Neodiprion lecontei: one gene and its partner. The protein of the gene in region 2 purifies or fractionates together with the protein of the main gene of each other region. This does not show direct contact. Links are inferred from orthologs where the notes say so. Each region holds a gene or a part of one and is shown on either strand. Other genes may lie near its edges.

Evidence for each region. Proteins that work in one complex are often made in the same cells at the same time.
Region 1: the proteins of COP9 signalosome complex subunit 3 (region 2) and DDB1- and CUL4-associated factor 11 purify together in Homo sapiens (affinity purification with mass spectrometry; 3 studies listed by BioGRID and IntAct, counting the BioPlex papers as one, with this or other methods). This does not show direct contact. The link is inferred for Neodiprion lecontei from reciprocal best matches to the Homo sapiens genes COPS3 and DCAF11.

Annotation. Positions count from the first base shown.
Region 1 is NC_060261.1:2,511,080-2,523,195, reverse strand, and holds DDB1- and CUL4-associated factor 11, read left to right. Parts: upstream 1-4,739; coding exon 4,740-4,864; intron 4,865-5,005; exon of another isoform or gene 5,006-5,112; coding exon of another isoform or gene 5,113-5,147; intron 5,148-6,809; exon of another isoform or gene 6,810-6,824; coding exon of another isoform or gene 6,825-6,835; intron 6,836-6,883; exon of another isoform or gene 6,884-7,038; intron 7,039-7,194; exon of another isoform or gene 7,195-7,461; coding exon of another isoform or gene 7,462-7,541; intron 7,542-7,633; exon of another isoform or gene 7,634-7,690; coding exon of another isoform or gene 7,691-7,698; intron 7,699-7,896; coding exon 7,897-8,002; intron 8,003-8,094; coding exon 8,095-8,341; intron 8,342-8,448; coding exon 8,449-8,595; intron 8,596-8,702; coding exon 8,703-8,884; intron 8,885-8,956; coding exon 8,957-9,049; intron 9,050-9,129; coding exon 9,130-9,376; intron 9,377-9,509; coding exon 9,510-9,665; intron 9,666-9,793; coding exon 9,794-9,900; intron 9,901-9,991; coding exon 9,992-10,147; 3' UTR 10,148-11,906; downstream 11,907-12,116. Other genes in the region: putative serine protease K12H4.7, read right to left, coding at 1,634-1,743, 1,925-2,094, 2,268-2,400, 2,490-2,806, 2,936-3,071, 3,240-3,475, 3,594-3,775, 3,936-4,136. UniProt on the Homo sapiens protein: May function as a substrate receptor for CUL4-DDB1 E3 ubiquitin-protein ligase complex.
Region 2 is NC_060262.1:2,585,284-2,595,705, forward strand, and holds COP9 signalosome complex subunit 3, read right to left. Parts: upstream 7,008-10,422; 5' UTR 6,801-7,007; coding exon 6,725-6,800; intron 6,453-6,724; coding exon 6,192-6,452; intron 6,104-6,191; coding exon 5,379-6,103; intron 5,291-5,378; coding exon 4,994-5,290; 3' UTR 3,782-4,993; downstream 1-3,781. Other genes in the region: cytosolic Fe-S cluster assembly factor NUBP1 homolog, read left to right, coding at 1-150, 249-435, 528-580; active regulator of SIRT1, read left to right, coding at 1,645-1,711, 1,828-1,917, 2,002-2,150, 2,352-2,474; nicotinamide riboside kinase 1, read left to right, coding at 3,167-3,781; dynein regulatory complex protein 11, read left to right, coding at 9,481-9,984. UniProt on the Homo sapiens protein: Component of the COP9 signalosome complex (CSN), a complex involved in various cellular and developmental processes.

The DNA.
Region 1 (12,116 bases), on a different chromosome or scaffold from region 2:
TATTTGTATAATAATATTTATTTCTCATGCTCGTTACTGAGAATTATTGAAGTACGATGAATGGCTACAGAAAGCAAGAAATTATTTTTCTTCTAATTCTACAATTGAACTCATTTTTTTTTTGTACCTATATGAAAGTGGTGTTTTTTTGTTTATTTTTTTTTTCAACACGTTACTTGGTGAAACGATACAGATGCCTAATTACAATAGCATAGAATATTCGCCGTTCGTATTTTCGTATAAGTGAAATGAAATTAATATTATTTTTTTTTGGGCTGATGTATTGATGTAAATAATAATTAAGTGATCAAGTAAACTATGATCACAATAATCGCAATGATTCATTTTATTCTTATCGCAGAGTTCTATGCTATTGTAATACTGTCAACGCTGGTCACAAGGGATGCCAAAAAAGAAAAGAATTAAAAAAAAAAAATTGTATACAACGATCAAATGCATATACATACATACATACATACATACATACATATTTAATTACATATGTTTTACTGAATTTTAATTATAGGACACCACGAAATCATCAAATACATTAATCTTATAATCTTTTGCAACAAATGATGTTGTACACAAGCTAACAAAACGGTTTTGAACTAACGTGGATATTGGAGGAATCCGAAATGAATACCTTGGCCTTGCTTTGAGGGAGCCAATTAACTCTGAAATAGAAGATACTATTTTTGAGATACTTTTTTTTTTTTTTTTCTTAATCAATACTTTTCTCATTGCTAAGGTAAGGCCGACGTTTTTCATGCGGAAGAGAAATAAAAATAAAACACCCTGATAAAACTGATAGATATTAACGAACAAGCTCCGACGTAAAACAAAGAAAAAAAACTCGAGACAGTCAGAATCACAAGAATATACATATAGTTCAGCATACAACGAACTTCGGATTATTGTTAAACAACTAATTACATCACTGTAACCTTAGTGATTTTATAATTATATTTCGTCATTCGCGATTTCCAAGGTAAAATATACTGCTGCCATTAATAGGCGCTCACATACTTTACCTGAATATATTATTAAGACTTTTACTCGATGCACGACGCAGTGTTAAAATTGAAAGAGATTCGTGGGTGTAACACTCTAAGGCATGTTATGTACATTATAAATAGAAATTAGTTATAGTCAATGTATTGACAATCGTATTAGAATAAATATATTTATGAAATTGATTGTATAATTTTGAAATGCTGCTATTATTTCCAATTTATTATAAACCAATCACGTAACTATTTGAAGAAAATTAAAATTGATTTCGATAATTAGGTCATTCAAAAACATGTGGTCGCTACATGCTTACGAAATATCGGACAAATAAGTGAACAGTGTCTTTTTTAATAATCTTTCTAAAACGCTTTATTGTAAAACGTGTTTCAAAAAGAAATAGACTGAACAGCATTGAGAAAGAAACTTACATTCACATTTAAGATTAAACTTAACGACTGGGTATATATATCATGTCTTTGTATAAAATATAACTTCACAGTCTGTAGAACATTATCACGATTTGCCAAGTTACTTACATCTTGTTTTGTATCATATCGATAAGCTTGGCTTGGATTTAGAGTTATTATCGTCCACAATACATATCATTTAAATCAGTCTTTCAGTCCTTAAGCCATTGACCAATCAGTTGACCAATGCGTTTCCGGGCCTCGGTCAATTGTGGTGGATCATTATCCGACTGAGGATACATATTGGCGCAGTGGGCCGTGCCTTGAATTACAAGAACCAGAATAGGTAACAAACATTCCAGGCCAAACAGTGGCTGAATACTCTATATTGTTAATTTGATATTAAAGGTAATACCATTCTGTGTAATACGACAACTTCACTACACAATATTTCGATTTATATCTGTATTTCAACAGTTTTCTAATCAAATAAAGTGACTCACCGTTTATGTAAATAGCTGGTGCCCGAGGGTTGGTCGACTTTATCTTGCCAAGAGCATGCCACGGGTCAATACTTCCATGGACAAATACCACGTTGCTGACATCCAAATCGAAAGCTCCGTAAATTGTATTGGTACGTTCGACCGCAGATTGCAGGAGATGTATATTGTATCTGCAAAATGAATTGAGGCAAGTTTATCGTGTCTCTGGGACAAGTGATTATTTAGATATGTACAATCATTTTCGTTCGCAAACAACTTCCAGAGAATCAGAGCACGTGAATATAAAATAAAAATTTGCAAGTACGTTTCGATGTTAGACAATCAAACAGTAATTGACATCTACCTTGGTCCAAATATGTCAGTGCACTGCTGAACAAAGAAATCTACTGGAAAAGTTTCGCTGAAAAGCTGAGGTCGCGCAGTCGATGTCTGGAAGAATCCGAATTCGGTGCAGGTTTGATAAGTCCATTGTCGACCTTTGAACGTTAACGAAAGCGTCAGTTTATGTGATAATTAACTTGAACCGTGACTGCACCTCAATCGATTATGTATGAACTTTACCAACCTCCTTCTGCTGCCTCATCAGCCCAGCTGACATTCCGAAGTTCACTGATCATTTTGTTATATTTATAGTCGAAACATTTCTCATCGTTTGCCTTGAGAAGTAAATTGCTAACCTGAGCTAGACGAGAAACAGGTGTACCTCTGTTCTCATCTACCAGGATGTTACAGATCGTGTCAATCGTTATGTTGGCCGTTTTTGAACTTTTACGATTATCCTTGTTGTACTGTACTACCTCAGCGAAATTGCTTGCCAGTGATTCATACATATTTGCTATATCATTGTTTTTCGTGTGACCGGGGTCAATAGGGTCGCAAAACCTTAAATTCACAAGGAAAAATTAACACATTGTATTGGATTGTTCGATGACATGGAAAAAAATTGCGAGTCACTGCTGCTGATTTAAAAAATAAAGTTAAATAATATGTAAGAACGTTACGGTACAGTACTTGAATTTTTCCGCAAGTCCCTTCTGGCCAAGAGGATGACGCAACATTATGTGAACTTGTTTATTGGCAGTAACGACTGCATCGATGCATGCCTGGGAATGGGTTCGCAAGGCATCTTCGACTACAACGTAATATTCTGTAATTTACAAATAGTAGAAACGTATTATTCATCGGAATATTGTTGTTCCAACGAGATTTCGCCTGTAATGGTATCTAAAAATTAATTCAATCCAGGTCAACCGAATTCAAGGTCTGAGCTTTATTGATGCGGAAAGAAGTGTTTGCATATCTATCGAATGCTTACGCTGAAAATCAATCTGTGCCAAAAGGGGTCCACTGGCTGACATGGCTCCGTGAACAAGGTGAGGATACTTGGCTCGAGACCAAGCAGCCAGAGAACCTGGATAAGATCCGCCAAAAGTGATCCATTTGGTTCCTGCAGGAATCTGATGTCTGAGATTCATCCCTTCGATGAAATAAGCAAGATCGGCCAGTGCCTGTTCAGAGCTCAGATACATGAGATTTTTCACACTCAAATCGCTGGAAAAAATTACATGAGGTGAATTTGCAAAAAAAAATCCTGAAGCCAATGCGAGCTATACATAGAGTTATCATCATGGAGTTTTGAAGTAATAACAAATTTCACTTTGCAGCTTACGCAGTCGGGTGGCTTTTGCCATAGAAGCGATGTTCCAATTGGAAACACAAGGCTCCGTATTGCTTTGCATATTCAATCCATTCTCCTTCTGCCATCCACTTTGGATTAGCAGTTCCTTCCCCGCCAATCATAAGGAAGACTGGCCCTCCTTTCTTGTAGAATCCAGAATTGGTAAAATATCGCTGAAGAAAAAATAAGGTTTATCAACATAGATTTTCCCATCAATAATGCGTATATCGTATAGCATTGAATGAATATAGCATAAAATCGGAGCTAAGTAAATGAGAACTAATTTTCCCTGTCTAGGATCATCAGATATAAGTATAAAACATCATCACACACCTGTTTCCATGTTCTAGCGTCGGTTGGGTTGAAATGGTCAAGAAATTGTTCAAACCACTGATCCTCAACTGGCACGTAATCTTTAGAGAGAACAGGCGATCCTAGGTTTCCACCCTTGCTTCTGCCACGTGCAAAACTGCGCAATGCTAATGCAGCATTAACGCCAGCTAGCAGAATTACAAGTAGTCGAATGAAAAGCATATTAACGCCTATCAATTGTGAAACAACCTGAAATGACAGTGACACGAGAAAAATTAGCTGCAGGAAACACAAAAGATGTGGATTAAAAAGCATTTCATCTTTTAAGTGATGTCATTTATAGTTTCCTTTTATTACATGTAAAAAAACCAACGGCCGGCTGTTGAAGTAAAAAAATAGAGATATCTAACAAACTGTCTGGCAGAAATCAGTGTTGTTATTAGTATTATTGTGTTTCACCGACTTTATTATGACTCATTTGTGATATTGCAACTACCTTAATGTAAGACTATCGTGCAAGTGACGTGAACGATGTTAGGTATAAACTGGTGCCGATGTAAATTTAGAGAGAAGAAATTTGACCTACTGTATTACGGGTCACTGGGATTAAAAGGAAATTTGAAGGTTACAGGGAAAGGAATAAAAAAAAAATAAAAACAAGAAAACTAAACAATCGAGAACGAACGGACCGATATCATATTAAGAAAAGTTTTTGAAACCTATTTGACATGAGAAACGACGGTTATTTTGACAGCAATACTAAAGTATAATGTTATTTTCTCGAAAATAAACGGCTGCTGATACTTGCCGGGTTATGGATGATGGATGAGTGTGGGTTATTCTGGGAGAGGTAGTTTTATTTCGTCAGGCATGCGCTTGACAAGGATACTGAGAATACATCTGGTACGCGCGACGACGACAACAACAACGTCGTTTATGACACGGAGAAGTTAAGTACCGACCAAGTATGCATTCTCCAAAAACTAGCATCGATAAAGAAGAAAGCGATCTTTCCTATCCTACGACGACTTTCCATTAAACCATAGTTGTGCAATTTCGTAACATGTTTACATGCAAAAAAGCAACCTAACCGTCACAACGATAACTCATTCGCAGCGATTTTACAAATCTCTGATCGCGAGAGGTGAGCTTCGTATCTGTCACCGATCTTCCGACAATTATATCGCCGTGTAGTAGGATGTTGCAAATTATTCATCGATTTGTCTTGCTACGGTAAAGAAAAATTCAACATAATCATACCTTACATATATTTTCTTATTAAACGCGTATCAGGCATGATATTGTAGATAAGCGATCGTCCCAATTATCCAATTATACACTCGTATTTTGTCAATTATCAAAGTACGTACTAAATTATTACATCATTGAAATGAAATCTCCTTGCCGGCTGTTGTCGACAAAAGCTCGAGTATGAAACTATTAACTAATAGTATTAGGCAATGGTGAAAGAAATACAAGAATTTATTATTCGATTAAAAGTATTGGCTCATCGGTCAATTACGTTTTACGCTTGTACGGGTAGTTTAATTAAGCCGACATACCTACCTAATCTCATGCCGAGGTAAACAACTCGCAGTTGGATGATCGTTGTCGCAGGCGCGAATTTTTCGGGTAACTCGGAGGGCCCGAAGATCTGTTTACTTCTATACGAAATTCATGTAAAAACTATTCGAATGCCCGAATATTTATAATTCGACCAATTTTCTTGTTCTAAAAATTGTGCAATATTTATATAATTATAACGCCAAGGATTGTGCCAAGAAAAAAAAAATATCTCTGTTGTTCACTTGTGAAAACTTATTTAATCAATGCGCTCTACTGCCGTAGGCAGTGACACATTTGCTTGTACGCGTTAAATATTTGAATTTTCAAATAGTCTGCTTCTACAATTGTGTATAATTCGACAACCGGCCTGATATTTAAAGTTCGCACATGTTTAAAGATTAGACATGTAGGAACCGTGTTAAATAATTTTTCAACATCTACAGCGTTGTTGAATATTTATTTTTATTCTTTTTTGCTTTCTATCCTCATAACGTCACGTGATCTGAGTACGTACATTTATCTCCAACCAACCGAATCAACGTATTTCCCTTCACCGTCTCGTGGGGGCGCAGAAACTTGCCAAAAATTGTGTTATTACGTATAATTATTATCAGGATCGTCCTCCATATTTCGCGTGATACTTTCATTCGACACGGAAACAAGAGTGTATGTCCTATGTAGCATAATGAGACTGAAGTTAGCGTTGTATTATATCCTCAGTATCCTCAGTCAACGAAGTTCGTAACGTTATTGTCATGATTCGTCTTTCGGAAAACCCGTTATTCCGTAATTTTAAGAATCTCCGAAATGCAGTAAATTGTAATAATAAGACAAAAGTAATTCATATGTTCAAAACTCAGCCACTTCGAAGTCATTACAAAATTGTTAAATAGTCATCCCCCCCCCCCAGCCTCGTTACCCTGACGTTACTAACTTCCTACTACTTCTTTGCGCATCATTGCTACATTTAAAAATCGATTCACTGTATGCTATTAGCCGATAAGCATATCCCAAAAACGAGCTAGATTACCAATCATGTACATACATTATATGCACGTAGACGTTATATATAACATACATGTATGTAGCACGCGATAAAAATATATTGCGCATTATGTGACAGGCGTTCTCTTCCTTGTTTGTTGTTTGTCAATTGTTTTTCTTTCTTTCTCGTTCTTTATTCCCCCCTCCCCTCCCCCCACTCTTTTGTCCCTTCTATATTTTTGATTCTTTGGTTTTTTTTTTTTTCACATTCGGCGCACGATAAAACCTTGAGCGAATTGACTCTGTAAGGCGATAAGAGAATTTTGTGCCGGAATAATGAATTTTCTTCGATGTTGTACAATGACATATGTGTAAGTCACATGACATTCGTTTAGAGACAGAAATTTTATTGCAGTCGATCGTCGTATAAGTGTTCGTGCGATAAGAGGGATCGCGATCCATCGAATACATAATCCTGTTATTATTTGTTTATTTTGTTTTCCTCAATTCGACGCACTGTGCAAGATAAATGATTCTCTTTCGCGCGAAGAAGGCCTGCAGTGTTGAGAATACCGTATATTTTTAATTTTATATTTATTTTTTGGGTATATACATATATATGTATATATATATTTATATATATATATATAAAATATATACACACATGCACGTGCGCGCGCGCGCACACACATACACATGCATATATATGTATATATCTAATATAATTAAGACGAAACGTGGAACGTGAACGTGCAATTAAAATACACCCTACATAAGTATATTCAGTGAAAAAGCAAAACCTGTACGGTGGGTAAAGTGAGAGACTTTGGTGAAGAGGTGTACGCACACTTTGAAGTTTACTACCGTCATTGGGCCTAGATTTCTCTTCTCTACTTCTTAGTTGTTTTCTTCTTCTTGTTCGTCGTCATCGTCGTCCTCGAGGTTGTTTCAGTTGTATATATAATACGCTTTATAAAATTCATCATTTCACATCTGGATGGGAGCCATAAATTCGCGTAGTATGGATTTCGAACAGGATCCAGGACTCACCGCTATCTTGCAATATTTGATCAGAAGGTTTGCAACCAATATACATAATCTCGCAATATTTCGGATTTTCCTACGAGTGTCAACCTAACCTAACCTCTCCATACGTACCCCGTTATTCTTTAGTCAACTTTGACAACAGTAACAGATTTTTTATTTACGAAGTATTTCAACTTGGCATGCAGGCGTACGTAGAATTTGTTCTCGGAAAACTGGTTCACATTTTTATGCACTCATTAACAGCTGACTTCTTACAGATGAATGAAACTGTGTTGAGAATTGTCATTTTCATTTCCATGCAGCAAAATTATATAAACGGAGGAAATTCTAAACTGAGAAAAACTAATTTGATTTGATATTTATGTTTTATTCTTTTCTTCAACAGTGGGCAGGTACATATCATATCTTCGGATCAGGATGACTCCGACGAAGAGTACGGCAGTTCGCAACCGCCCAGAGTGACGACAAAACCTAACACATCGATTCTCGACGTAAGAAAGTTCGACGAACTTCAAACATAACAAATTTCACGCTTGTGTGTGGGTTGTTATTATGTATGTTGATTTGATTTATTTTTTTTTAGAAGAGTGAAATAAGTCTGGCAACAAAACAGGCTTGCGGACTTGGCGACACCGGCGGTAAACCAGCAACGTCGATTACTTCTATGATACAAAAAAGAGCCGTAGGGCCAGGATTTAGTGCAGGACAAAAATGTAGAATAGCCAGCAGTTTTCTACCAAACAAAATGCGTCAAGTGGCTAAATACAGCAGCAAGGCTTTCTGTGGATCGCATTCCAAAGATGGGAGATTTTTCCTTACCGCCAGTCAAGGTCAGCCTGTTATCAACATTCCATATCACAGTTTGGAAACTTGATCTGCGGTCTATACCTATTTTCATATGTAAAATGAATATATGTTGAAAAAAATTTATTTTCAGATCGATTTTTACGTCTTTACCACACACAGGATGGAGAATTTTTAGAATTCAAAAAGATTCCGGCACGTGACGTTGGATGGAGTATTCTAGACACAGCTTTCAGTCCCGATGGCAACTACATTGTATATTCTAGTTGGTCCGAATGCCGTGAGTGAACTTTTCATGAACAATTACATGAGCATGGTTGAAACGTAGTCAAACTATCGATAAAACTTAGCACGAGCTACCGTTAATAATATTTGATTATCTTGCAGTATACTTGTGTCCCGTTTATGGTGATTCTGTGATCCAAGAATCCCTCTCGTTGTGTCCAGAAGACCGGAGATTTTGTATATTTTCTCTAGTATTCTCTAGCGACGGCAGGGAAATACTTGGAGGTGCTAATGACGGATATCTATATGTATACGATAGAGAATGTCATCAACGTGCTCTTAGGGTAAGTTACTCGGTTGTAACGAACGACTAGCTAATTGAAGTTGCTTGCTTTAATCCAAGGTAATATTTCCAGATCGCGGGTCATGGTGACGATGTAAACACAGTTGCCTTTGCAGACAACACGTCACAAATTTTATACAGTGCAGGAGATGACGGTCTTTGCAAGGTAAGAAGGTTTATTTTCGGTAAACAACATTTTTCATCTCGATTCTTATAATCGGTTTTTCTTCTTCAATGATTTCTTAGGTTTGGGACAGAAGAACGTTGAGCGAAACTGATCCTCACCCTGTAGGTATTCTCGCAGGGCATATGGACGGAATAACTTATATCGACCCACGAGGAGACGGCAGATATTTGGTAACAAACAGTAAAGATCAGACAATCAAGTTATGGGATGTCAGAGCATTCTCGGACCAAAATGCCGAGCTAAACACACGCAAGGCCGTCGCTACTCAAAATTGGGATTACAGGTGGCAGCGAGTACCAAAAAGTTGTAAGTTGCGATGGAAAAGGCATACCTTAATTTCACTCCGGCATACATAGATTACTCATTTGCGAATTGTGTAAATGGTTACCGTTCCATTTTCCTTAGTATATCAATAATTAAGTTTCTTCACCTGTTGCAGTGTATAAAGTAAAGAATATGCTCGAAGGAGATACAAGCGTGATGACGTATCGAGGGCACTCCGTGTTGCAGACTTTGATACGTTGTCATTTTTCACCGGCCGCGACAACGGGTCAGAGATATATATACACGGGTTGTGCGACGGGAAAAATAATAAGTGAGTAAATCATCAGAAATTTCTCTATTTCATCATAGTATTAACATTGTTACACAGTGTTATCAGTGATTTTCACAGTATGTTGATATAATCGTATGTTTCAAAACATTACACATGTAACGTTACAGTATATGACGTGTTGACTGGTGTAATAGTCAATGCTCTCAATGGACACAAAGGCTGCGTCAGAGATGTCAGTTGGCATCCGTTTCATCAAGAAATAGTATCGACTTCTGTAAGTGGTTGATATTTTTCTTACAAGACAAAGTTACCTACGAATCCCTTCCTTTGCGATATAAAACAAGATCTTTTAATCTCCATTACAGTGGGACGGAACAATAGGGAGTTGGCGGTATGCAGGCGGAACTTCACTCGACAGTTCAGACTCCGATGACGACAATGATACATTATTGCGGCCGCGTGCATTAAGACGTAGCCAAAGAATAGCTGCCCAACGTGCGAAACACACAGTGGCCTGTTAAGTAGGTAAACGAAATTGCTACGTGGCCAGGTAACACATACGTTTGGGATGGGCTGGTTCTATTCCCAGAGAAAAAAAAAAAAAAGTGATTAAAATATCCGACACCTGGACTGTTGGATAATAAGTAAAAGTAGATTTTTTACAAGACTGAGCGTACTTTTATTTCTTTTTTGCGTTTCTTAAACAGCGTCAAAGAATCAGCCCATTTTCACGAGTAACATTATATTAACACAATAAATGTATAGAAAAAACAAAACATTAGAAAAAATTACAAGCAAAAAAAAGAATCGTTGAAAAAAAATTATTTTTCGTGTTTTTTCGGACTGGGCTTCCCCTACGATACCAATATTGTTACTAACTTTTTTCATAACGTCTAGAATGCGGCAGTGTGTTGAGACTAATTAACCAATACTTTCTTTTACGTCTTATATGCGAACAGCGAGTGTTGAGAAAACAAAGAAACAACAATGTTCCCAGACATATTTTATCATCACCATTTAGAACCCTCTGTTACGTTCCATTTCAAGCATATTCAAACTTATCCATCCATGAAATCAAATGTTCGTTTGAATAAAATATTTTGAAGAAAGATTTTCGTAGAAGTGTGAATTAAAAAAAAAAAGCAAAAAACGTAAAAGGGTAATGAAAAGTATAAATATCCACCACAAGTTTGAGTTTATAAAATGGAGGGAAGAAACAAGTTGAGCGATACAGACACGCTTCCACTAGTTAGTCCAGATTGTTTAGAAATGAAATCAATTTAATGCACTAAGTACGGCATGTAAAAATTTTTCGAGTTAAGCATTTAATCAAACTCTAATCTAATTATCGATAAGAATTACATCTGATCGCCGTGCCATGACAAGTGTTACGGACCACGGAGTTTCGGTATTGCTACACCTAATTTTCTCGCTGTGTTGGCATTTGTTGGTCTCAGTGTACTAAATAATTTTGCTATACATTAAAATTCCGTTCGGTGCCTAATATTAAGTAAACATAAAACTCTTGAATTTGACATTCGAGGTAATACTTTCCAAGCTTTGTAAAAAAAATTTATTGAATCTAAAGGGATACGCCAAAACGAAGACGTCTTGTTAACTTACTTTTCATGTAAGTATCCTTTTTTTACCCATGAAAAGGATAACAAGAAAACAAAAAAAAAAAAACAAAAACGCAAAAACAGAAGAAAATGCAATTTTCTGCAACTCTGTAATGATGTATATATGTAGTTTCTAAAACCATATGAAATAAAAGATAGTTTAGAAAGTGAAAAAGAAAATGTCAGCATATCCTTGTAATTCTCTTATTATTGTCGTTGTTGTTGTTGTTATTACAATCATAATTTAATCAGCTAATTCATTATCTGATGATATTTCATTGAACAGCAAAATATAAATTTGCATTGCATAATAATTATTAGTTTGAATGAAATTTACAAAATGAAAACAATTTCTTATTCTGTCAATTTTGAAAGACTGAAGTAATAATCGATTTAACGAAGTAGTTGGATGAATTCTTCTCTTTTTAGCAATTGCTTTTGAATATCAAGTAAACAAAAATATTTATCAAGTCTAACGACAACTTTTTTTATGCGTTGAATTTGTATATTATTCAGTTTTTTTTTTTTTCATTCAACAAAAGTATAGCTTCCCGCGTACGATACCTAGATATATGTGTGATTGAAAAAAGTTAGTTACAAATTGAAGAAACGCTGGATTAAAAAAAAAAAAAAAAAAAAAAAAAACAACAAAAAAAAATACCATGATAACAAGTCATATGGCTGTGATACGAGAATTAAAAAAAAAATCAGTTTACGTGACTGTATGATTTGCTGTACCGTGTCTGCCAGTTTAAGACTGTATCTATAACGTGTATAATATATTGTCAAAAGTATCAATCACAATTTGTAAGTTTAATACTTGATAGTGGTAAATGAAAATGAAAGCAGCTTTGTATTACAAACGGACAGA
Region 2 (10,422 bases):
GCAGGGATCACAGGAGCTCTGGTGGTAACAACACCACAGGAAGTTGCCCTACTCGACGTAAGAAAAGAGATTGATTTTTGCAACAAGGTCAAAATCCCGATTATTGGTATAATCGAGAATATGAGTGCGTTTATCTGCCCCAAGTGCAAGGTGAGATCATTAAAGCAATTATTGCCCCTGTTTTGCGATCGATTATTTCCCTCAATCGTAAGGTTTTTGTGCAACTTCTGATGTTATCGTTCGTTTAGAATTCCGCTGAAATATTCCCAGCATCGACAGGTGGAGGTCGTCAATTAGCCAAGGATTTGAACATAGAATTTTTGGGATCAATCCCACTGGATCCACTCCTGGCAAGATGTTGCGACGAGGGTAAAAATTTTATGACTGAAATGCCAGACTCACCAGTCGTGGCCGTGCTATCGCCTATGATTCAAAGTAAGTCTTCTTTTCTGTTTGCGTTTACATTGCAAAAATAGTAATTCACTTAATAAATCCAAGTTGAGTTTTATTTCAATTTTCGTTTACAGGGATCATACAGAAGTGCGAGAAGACCGAAGTCAGCTCGGCAGTGGACGATTAACATCAGCCAACATTTCCATCTACACTACGGTTACAAATATCGTAAATTATCTTCTTTGTAAAAAAGTACCCAGGTATTTGCGAAAGTCAGAACCTGATGCAATACTGGTGGGTATATGGTGAATGATAATTTCCCTAGCGCATGATATGATTGCTAGGCTCGAATTAGACTAGCATCAGCCTCGGAAATGGACGAGATTTGTATAAGAATTTTATTCGCAAAGAAACGTGCGGGGTAAGGCGTATATTTTAATAGAATAATATTTATCTATTAAAATTTTATGCGAAAAATAAATGTTGTTACATTAAATTTATATTTATAAACATAATAAGTACGATTCTCTTAAGAAATGCGAAATTATGCCGATGTTACGTTCCACGATTGTAAGAAGCTACGGTGTTTTTTTTTTCCACCAGACATATTTTCGTCCCGTTCTGCGCTGACCATAGGAAAGCAATCTTGAAAATATATGCGCTGTCTACAACCCATGTGGAGATTTTCACACTTTAAAAACTGTGCTTTAGAATGTGCGCTCAGCACTGACCTAGGAACGCGGCACTAAACATTTCTAAATGCGAATAATGGTAAATCCAACGGGCTTTCATATGGTCGGAGAACGCGATTCGTTCTTAGAGATGGCTGTGCAGGTTTATTAATATCCGTAACAGGAACACACCTTATCTTACACCATGAAGTAATTACTTCGTGTCTTACCGGTCTTACCATTGTCTTTCTTTATAAGCCTATGTGTCTTACACCATGCAAGACATTTTCGAATCTAATGGAATTGAATTAATGAGGTTCGGTCCGCTAGATGGCGACAGCATTACGAGTCAGAACGGCGCTCAGAAGCAATAAGGGTCACAATCTGATTGGCGCTTAGTAATCAGGGTCCAATGTAATTGGTGCTTTATGGCACTTTTGCTGAAGCAACGTCATTTTAATTTTCCCTTTATAGTCACGCCTCTACTCTTAATAATGTTCAACAAGCTATGCGATACCGCATGCAATTTATCGATTACATTCCGATAATTTAAGGATCCACTGGTCTTCCTGATCTAGAAATGTCAACATCCCTCGTGCGTAAGAGTCTAGACATTTTGGGCTGTGACGACGACTACGTGAAACGAGGTAAATATGTGTCACCCGTGTCAACTGACACAACCTAACCTAACTTAACTTGACTTAACTGCCGGATTCACGCTTGTGAAAAATATGAAATATATACGACGTTATCATCGTTCCAGGCAGAAAGAAAAGGGCGAAAAAAAGCGAAGGCGTTCTGGACTTGATTCCAGCAAATCAGAGGATACATAACAACAAGAAGGGTAAAAAAGGTAGGCTGTCTCTCAGTGAACGATAATTAACCAATGAAAAAAGATTCGCCAAGTATATCTACAATTGTTTTGAGGATGTTGTAGAACAAAACATTTGTCCAAGTCGGTCTAAAAAGATTGGGATTAAAGAGGCAAAGCTCAGACTGAGCACGAAGATTGATGAGACAGATAAAAATATCGAGAGGCTACTTCTGCTTAGCGGTAATCGCATCGATCCTGAGACTTCGGAAAAGGTATTTTTCTGAAGCTTTTTATATTTTAAAAATTTGTTTCACAAACTGGCGTGAGGTAATATTGCAATTTTTCAGCATCGATGTTTCCTTAGAAATATTGATATTTAATTCAAGTGTTATTGTAAGAAGCATTTTATAGCATTTTGTTTTGGTTTTGCAATACAAATACTACATGTCACCCTTGCTATTCATATATTACAGCTTTTGAAACGGGCTTTGAAGAGACGTTATGTTCTGAAAGAAACTGAGCCTGCAGAGTCTGAGCAAACTGCGTTCACCGAAGAAGACTTCAAACAGTTTGAGAAGGAGTATCAAGTAGCATAACTGCAATAAGCCGTCTGTTGGATCAGGCGATAGGATGCTCAGTAGCGATAGAGTAAATGGTAAAGTGATCCTTATTTTGGCTTTCTGTTTTTTCGTTTATTATACAATCTGGGTGATAGGATTGCCCTTCATCGACGATAGTTGGCTGAGGTCGTTTTTTTATTCATCAAATATAGCTCTCATCGTACCAGCTGTATCAGGTCTCTTGTTTATTGGGGGTTTAGTATTGTTTACGTTATATCACGTCAGACCCTACCTTCAACATTGCAATCGAACAAAGTAATGCAGTGACGCGTTCGTCAAGTAGCAATAATTTATTATTATTCGGTGGATTGTACCTGCATTGTTGATTGGGGTAGAATTTTTCAGCACAAGACATCAAAGAAAAAGGAAATGAAACAAAACAAACATACATTACGTAATTGAGTTACATAACACGTGCATACGTATGCGCCCATGAACCAACTGCCCTGAGATAGCTGTATGCAACTTAAATTAGTATCATCGTATTCTTGGATTAGTATCGGAGTACCATTTGTTGAATAAGTGACCAAGTTTAGCGTCTTCGTTTACTTTATTATCAAACTGTGGTGGTGGAATAAATTGTTGGTAGCTTCATATTGGTATTCTGGTTTCAACAAGTGAGACGATAAGATTACTTCGCGAAATATAGAAAAATAAAAATAACTACGATGAGCGACTGGCTGATTGTTGGAATATCCGGAGTTACGTGCAGCGGGAAAACGACTCTGTCTAAAGAAATAAATGCCAAGTTAACCAACTCTGTAGTTATAAGTCAAGATGATTATTTCCTACCGACAGATAGCCCACGGCACACTTTTATACCTGAATTGAATCATATTAACATGGACATAATCAGCAGCTTGGATATGGAAAAAATGCACAATGACATATTGCAAGTAATTCAGGATTTTGAAACGGGAAATGGCGATGGGAACTGTAGAACTACTAGGAGAGTATTGATCGTTGAAGGATTTCTCATTTTTAGCTACAAACCAATATCAGATTTGACCAATTTAAAGTATTTTATTACCCTTGACAAGGATGAGTGCTGGAAGAGGCGAGAACTTCGCACGTACCTTCCACCAGACGTTCCGGGTTATTATGAAAAAATTGTATGGCCAGAATTCTTGAAACATAAGTCAGAAATAATAAATGACAGTAGTTTGAGCGAGGTTAAATTTATCGATGGATCAAGATCAAAAAAAGATATATTCGATGAGGTTTACAGTGCAATTAAGTGCCTGATGTGTAAAGAATGTAGCGAATGTACACAGAGCTTGTAGAGTTCCTCATGAAATTATAGGTGGATAAATGATGATTTGTATTATAATATAAATAAAAAGAAAACCTACAAGTTTTCCTTAGAGCGCAATTGAATAAATACATTATCGAATGTGCATTCAATAATATATGTCATTTTACAGTTTTCTTTAAGGACTTGTCCTTCTGACCGTGTTCCTCGTGCAGTGATTGTTAATCACCGATCCAAATATCCTTGCAACGACCTAAACTCCTGCAGCAAAGTAATCAGCAACAACTTTTTTGAGACTTTTCTCATCGAAAAGATGCAACTAACGGATGCTTAGATTACATAATTCTACAAGAAAATTTGTGAGTCAAAATTAATACTTTCCATTTTTATCTCGAATATTACAAGTCACAATCAACATTCGTTAACTTGGGCAATGACTGAATCAGTATTTTGTAACTTGTAATTCTTCCGTTTCCTGTTGCCGCTTTTGGAAAATAACATTGACTTCACAGTGAATACAGAATAGCGAATTTACTGCACTATGCTTATTAAATATTATTTCGAGTCAGTGAATTCACAAATTAACGTTGACTAGATAAATACCTGCTATAAATATTCAGAATATCTATTAAATATATTAGTATTGTGCCTTGGTACGCATTTATTGATAAAAAAATTCAAATTCCGAATAAATACCAGAAATGGTGAAATAGGTAGTTATCGATTGTTAACGAAAGCTGACGTATAATAGAATTCGTTGGCAACTTTAAATAAAGCTTATTTCAGAAAAGCCAATGCAATTTTAGTTTAGAACTTAGAATCTAGTTTTATTTGCAAAAACAGTTTTTAGTTGCAATAGAAACAAAGGTTAGAAATAACATTCCATACTTAGAATTCATCCGTAGATTACAAGACTTATTTTTACATTTAACACACCGTAGTTTCTAAAGACAAATAATTGGTAATTGCTGTGACAATTTTTAGTACACTATATATCAATTAGGCAGTTGTATTATCAGCAATGAGGTTTGTAAAAAGTGCGAATAATAGTAAACAAAAAAATTTGCTTTACAAATTTGTTTAATTATGGTTAACTGAAATGAGCTTTAACATTTTCTTTCCTTTTCTCGATGTGGCTTTTTGAAAATGATTTTTCCCTTCTTTTTTTCCATTTTTTGTGTTTTTTTTTTTTTTTTTTTTTTGTATTTGTTTTTTAATAAAGATAACGCACGATCATGGTATGTTACATGGAGTAAGTGCTATGTTTAGACTGTCCTTGGGTATTGGTTACATTGGTATGTACGGGACCTGTCAATGGCTCATCTTGATCTACATGACAGCACACTTTACGCACATATTGAGGTGCCAAAAGCACTTCTTCCTCCATCTCTAGAACCCGTTTATCGAGCTCCGTGCAAGCTTCCATTTCTTTTTCAAGCCTGGCAAGCATTTCGGGTGAGTTATACTTCTCGGGATCGTCGTGAAACACGACCATTCCATCTTTCTGATTGATCGTTGCAAATATCTCGCCGTCTTCAATCTGAAAAAGAGATTATGCAGCCGCTTAGTAAAGTTGTTTAGCCGCAAAGCAAAAATGACGTGAGTGGCCAATCGAGCATGCTTCTCACCATGTTTAGAATATATTGCTCAGCCTCAGTGGGCCCGGGAAGTTGTGCCCTGCTAGCAACGTCCGTAAGACTCAGGGTGAGGAAAGTTTTGGTGAGTCTCTGTATGTTCTTTTTGTACAAGTAGCGTAGGACTTGTTTCACCAATCCCCAGTTGTGATCTCTGACAAACAGCTCTTGGTGCTTGGTCATCACGGTGTTAACTTGTGCGCAGCTATTGGTCGAGTAGGCCGTCGCGATATCGTGATACCCCTGACTCAGTGGCTTGATAAACCTGTTAACGATCTGACTCGCATGCTTTGGTATGGTCACTATTTTACCATGAAGAATCAACGACACCAGCATGTACTTTTTGTACGCCTCCAACATTATGTGGCTCACCGACATCGCAGGGGTCGTTATGCAGACCTCGAAAAAGTACAAGGCTCGATTGTAGTTTTTCAATGCCGTGTATATCATTCCACCGTAATAATAGTATAGCAAAAAGTATTTTGCATCAAAATATCCACCCTCTTGACTTATACCGGTTATATCAGTATCCAAAAACTCTAGCGCAGGCTTGAAACACTTTGAGAGTAAACACAGCTGGCACAAATCTGCGTGTATAGATGTCAGCTGGCTGTCGAACAGCTGTATTTTTCGTATTGCTCTGCGCAAGAGGTCGACACCTCGCAGAGGCATTTGCAGGTCTATCAAGAGTTGGCTTAAAAGGTGGCATAATTCTGTGTCTGAAAAAATATACGCCATGTGTTAATCATCGATGACGATGTATCGTAGAAGCAGCTAAATAGTGACCAAGAATGCAAAAATTATCACATGTATCCGGGGCGAATCTGACTTGCTCCCCGTTGCATCCTACGATGAAGTCTTGGACCTGATTCAACAGCGGCTTGTAGGCATCTGGGTTGTTTGCTCCGTTGGCATTTGGCAGGGAAAGTTTTACGCAGAGGACGGCTAGGATTCCCAGTGAGTGTTGCTGTAGGTCAAGTGTTTCTAAGACATTGTCTAAATGTGGCCCGTTTCTTGCGAGCGTGGTCGTAGATTTATTGATAATGTCACAGAGCTCTCTGAAGTTGCCTGCGAACATGAAGAAAAGAATTTTTAAAACGCGAGGACAGAATAAAGAGCAAAATATGTAATTTTTATTTTCTTCAGTTTTGCTCGGTAGAAACTTCGAAATTTTTCAACCGGTGGGTCAAATTCTACCCGACCGGTGTTCAAAAGTTCAGATTTCAATTTTCCGATCACCTATCGCTGTTTCACAGGCAAAAAACGATCATGCGATTAGCACTATTGAGGTTATGTACCCGGTTCTCTCAATTCTTTGTTCTAATCAAATTGGCTCCTACCTTGCGTTGAGAGCGTACGGACATTATTTACAAATAGCTCGAGTGACGATGCCATTAGTGATGATACTTTCATCATCAATATCAAGTAACGTATTTATATTTACAACGTTTATTATATTTCTTTTCAAATTATCGGAGCCAGTGACGTTTTGAAACCTTCTACGAACACTCAGACCGCTCTGAAGCTCTCGCAGTTCTTACAGAATTCCGTCAAAGGGCTAACTTCATGATCCTTGCTCGTCGATCAACGGATCAGTCGGCTTCGGACGTATTCGGTCGGCAAATATTTTTTTCGCTTTTTTTTTTTTATCGTCTCTTCAGTTTCCTATGTTTACTCTATTTACTGACAGTGTAAATACCGCTGACACACGAAATGACTTTCATCGGTAACGTTACCGACATGTTTTTGTGCTCGAAATTTAGTTCCAAGAATCTGATCAGAGTGAACGTCGCTGCTGCAGCGACGCTACTTTCAGGCTACTCACAGAATTCTGGGATGCCGAAGAGTTCAAACGTGCTCGGCTCGTACCATGTATTTGGATTTGTTCAAATTTATACTCAATTTAATGGTTCTTCCTAATTAACTCGATGTGTGGGGCTGGCCTTGGTAAGTGATTGTCATGCAAACAGTTCTAAGTCACCGAGAAGTTTGTTTTCACCCGGTATGCCTGTAACTTGTTGTTTTTTTTTTCAATGGTGAACAAACAACGCTAGCGATTTGACTGTTACGTATACATCGCACCGAAGTCTATATTGGATTCTCCGTAACAGTCTCGTATGCTGTACATACGGCTTTTCGCGCTTCTCAAGTGGTAGAAGTGATCACTTTTATTGTGATCGTGGTCTTTTTTGAAAAATACACTTGCATCGACGTGACGATAAATCACCCTCGGTTATCTACAGGCAATCTATTTTTTACAGTATTATTATTCAGTTGTGGATGTTTCTCCAAAGATTGCCGCATTATTTCTTTTAAGCAAAGAAAAACGAGAATCTAATTTGTTTACTGGCTGTGTTGTTGAAATTTGAATTTAGCGCGTAAATTAGTGATTCAACATGGCTGACCTTGCCACTCTCTGCAGTTAAACAATCTCGAATCAAGTCAAGTCAGTGGCGCCTTCGGCAGACCAACAACACGCGAATCGATTACTAAAAACGACTGTGGCGTCGGTAAGAATGATTTTTAATAATGCAGTCTGTAAGCTTAGCGTAAATAGCTGAATTCTATAATTTGTTAGATGTATAGAAATTTGCTACAACGTGAACAGTTTTTCAGCACCTTTTATTCGCGCATTTAGGGGTTTTACTCTTCTTCTCCGTTATTGGTTTAACGAATTTGTATAAAAACATTGTATTTGGTTTACTCGACGTTGAGATTTTGAGTAAAAAAAAAAAAAACGTTAGTTACATCGAAAGTTTATTCGAATTTCTACACGTATCACACGTTTTACTTTATAGATCAAGCTTCTATATTACCGTTCACCAGGATCCTACAACTTAGGGTAAAACGTATTCGGATTGTTACATAAACGAGAGCTAAATTGTTTAATTTCAAACGATTATCAATTCCATGAACTAATCGAGTTGAAATAACATTTCAAACATGTCAGATTATAATCGATAAATAACAAACGAACGAGTCAACGTCACGTTCAAGTGTTGTATGGTGCATATTATGCATGTGTTGTAAGAAAAATTAACAGATTAAAATGAAAAAAAAAAACACTTGAAAATCTGCGATAATGACGCGCGACTTGGAGTTGCGGTCCTTCCAAGTTATTATACGACTATATAATGATATCGCGGTACTCGATACATTACACGAGAAAGTAAACATACGTCAATGGCGCATGTAAGTAATTCATTTACCTACCTTTAGGAATAATATCATACGAGACTGACTACGTCAAATGGCTCACGCATTAAATTTAAGTACTCACCGCGACATTACACTTTGCATACATCTTTCAGGTGTGAATGTCGTGATTTCGGTAATCAGAGTCAGTAAAGGAAATCGTCGAAGATTCTTATTGACCCATCAAATTATATTGCTGTACAAGCCGTGACAATGAAAATAATAGGGATGAAGTTAACAATAAGTTAGTTTAAAAGTATCATACGGTTGTAATATTATTTGTCTCGCATTTCACTCGATTTAACTGTTACTGTAATATAATATTTAGCTCGACGTGATTGCGTCTTGCGAAGGTATTTTCATCGGAATACGAAAAGTTTTTTTAAACGATAAACAAAAAAAAAGGTGAGAGTTTTTTTTTTGTATCAGTTCTCTTCTTCTCTTGTATAGTTGTAATAATAAACGGTGAACATGAATACCTAATAAATAATCGGAATCGATTAGAATTCATTTGGCTGCATGCGCATGAGGTTGAAAAAAATGTCGTTGACTGATTAGGGATTAGTAAAAAGGAACTGTAAGAACGATCTTGAAGGAACTTGTATACACTCTATTTGGGAATACCTGTACTAATGGTATAATCTGTCGAATGATCAACCGCGCTCTAAAATATAGGATTCGGAGTAATAAAGATCGTTGCGTTGCGTTGGGAAACCGCGGTTACTTGGCAACGATAAAACAATAATCTATTCGCCGCGATGATCACGCGAAAACGTTCTAAAAGCACAGTGCAACGATCTTTGTACAAAGTAAACTGCAATAACGAACGATTAGCAATTGAAAGAAGCGAAAGATACGTTATAGTATAAAAAATTGTGTCGGAGAAAATTCGAAAAAGATAATGTCCAACGTTACGTACAACGAGTTGTGGAAAGAGACGCAGGCGAGTCTCGAGGAGATTTCACAGACCGATAATATGGTTCAAAATTTAAAGGCCCAAAAGGACAGGCAAAAGGCCCGACAAAACGTGGCCGAGCTTTACGTCCGGTACATAGTAGTGACCAACAAACTTAACCAATGTTACGACCAGGTCGTGCAGCCGCAGAAGAGGATCCTGATTAGAAAATTGCTCGACTCCTGCGTGGGCCGGGTTTTGGAGCTGAAACACGAGCTCGTCGACGTCGATTTGTCAGAGTACAATTACTACGACGATGTTTTGCTCAAGTACGAGGTCACGCCTCAGGAGGCAGAGATTCACGTTCCCACCTACTTCCTCAGGGAACGGGAGACCGAGATTAGGGAGAGGCGAAAGTTCATCGAGGATACGCTCAGGGGCCTCGGTTATTTGCACGAAGAACCCGCACCAAGGAAAATGACCGAGGTTGAAGCCATACGGTTGATACAGGTTCGAATCCATCTAGGATCAATTGAAATTTACGTCAATTATACAGCATATCTGACATGCGGAATAGGAAATAGCCAAATTTTTTATTTCCTAGTATGAACATTTTTTAACCATCAATTTTCAAACATTTTTGATACAGCTGTTTACCGTTTCTCATTTCTATATATATCAAAGTTCTCGACAAATTATCAACTCTTTTTATTCTATCATTTTTTTATCGTTTAAACGAAATAGCTATTTTTCGTTAAATATGATTTTGTTTTTAGTAGTTTCATAATTAAGTGTTCACAAACATCAGTGTTTGATATATTTGAAATTTGTCCATCAAGATTCGAAAATATTTTTCATTTCACATAGTGCCAAACACGTTCGAATTATTTATAAGGCTACATATATATTTATAATTTTCTAAAACAGAATAAACAAAATAGTCGAAGC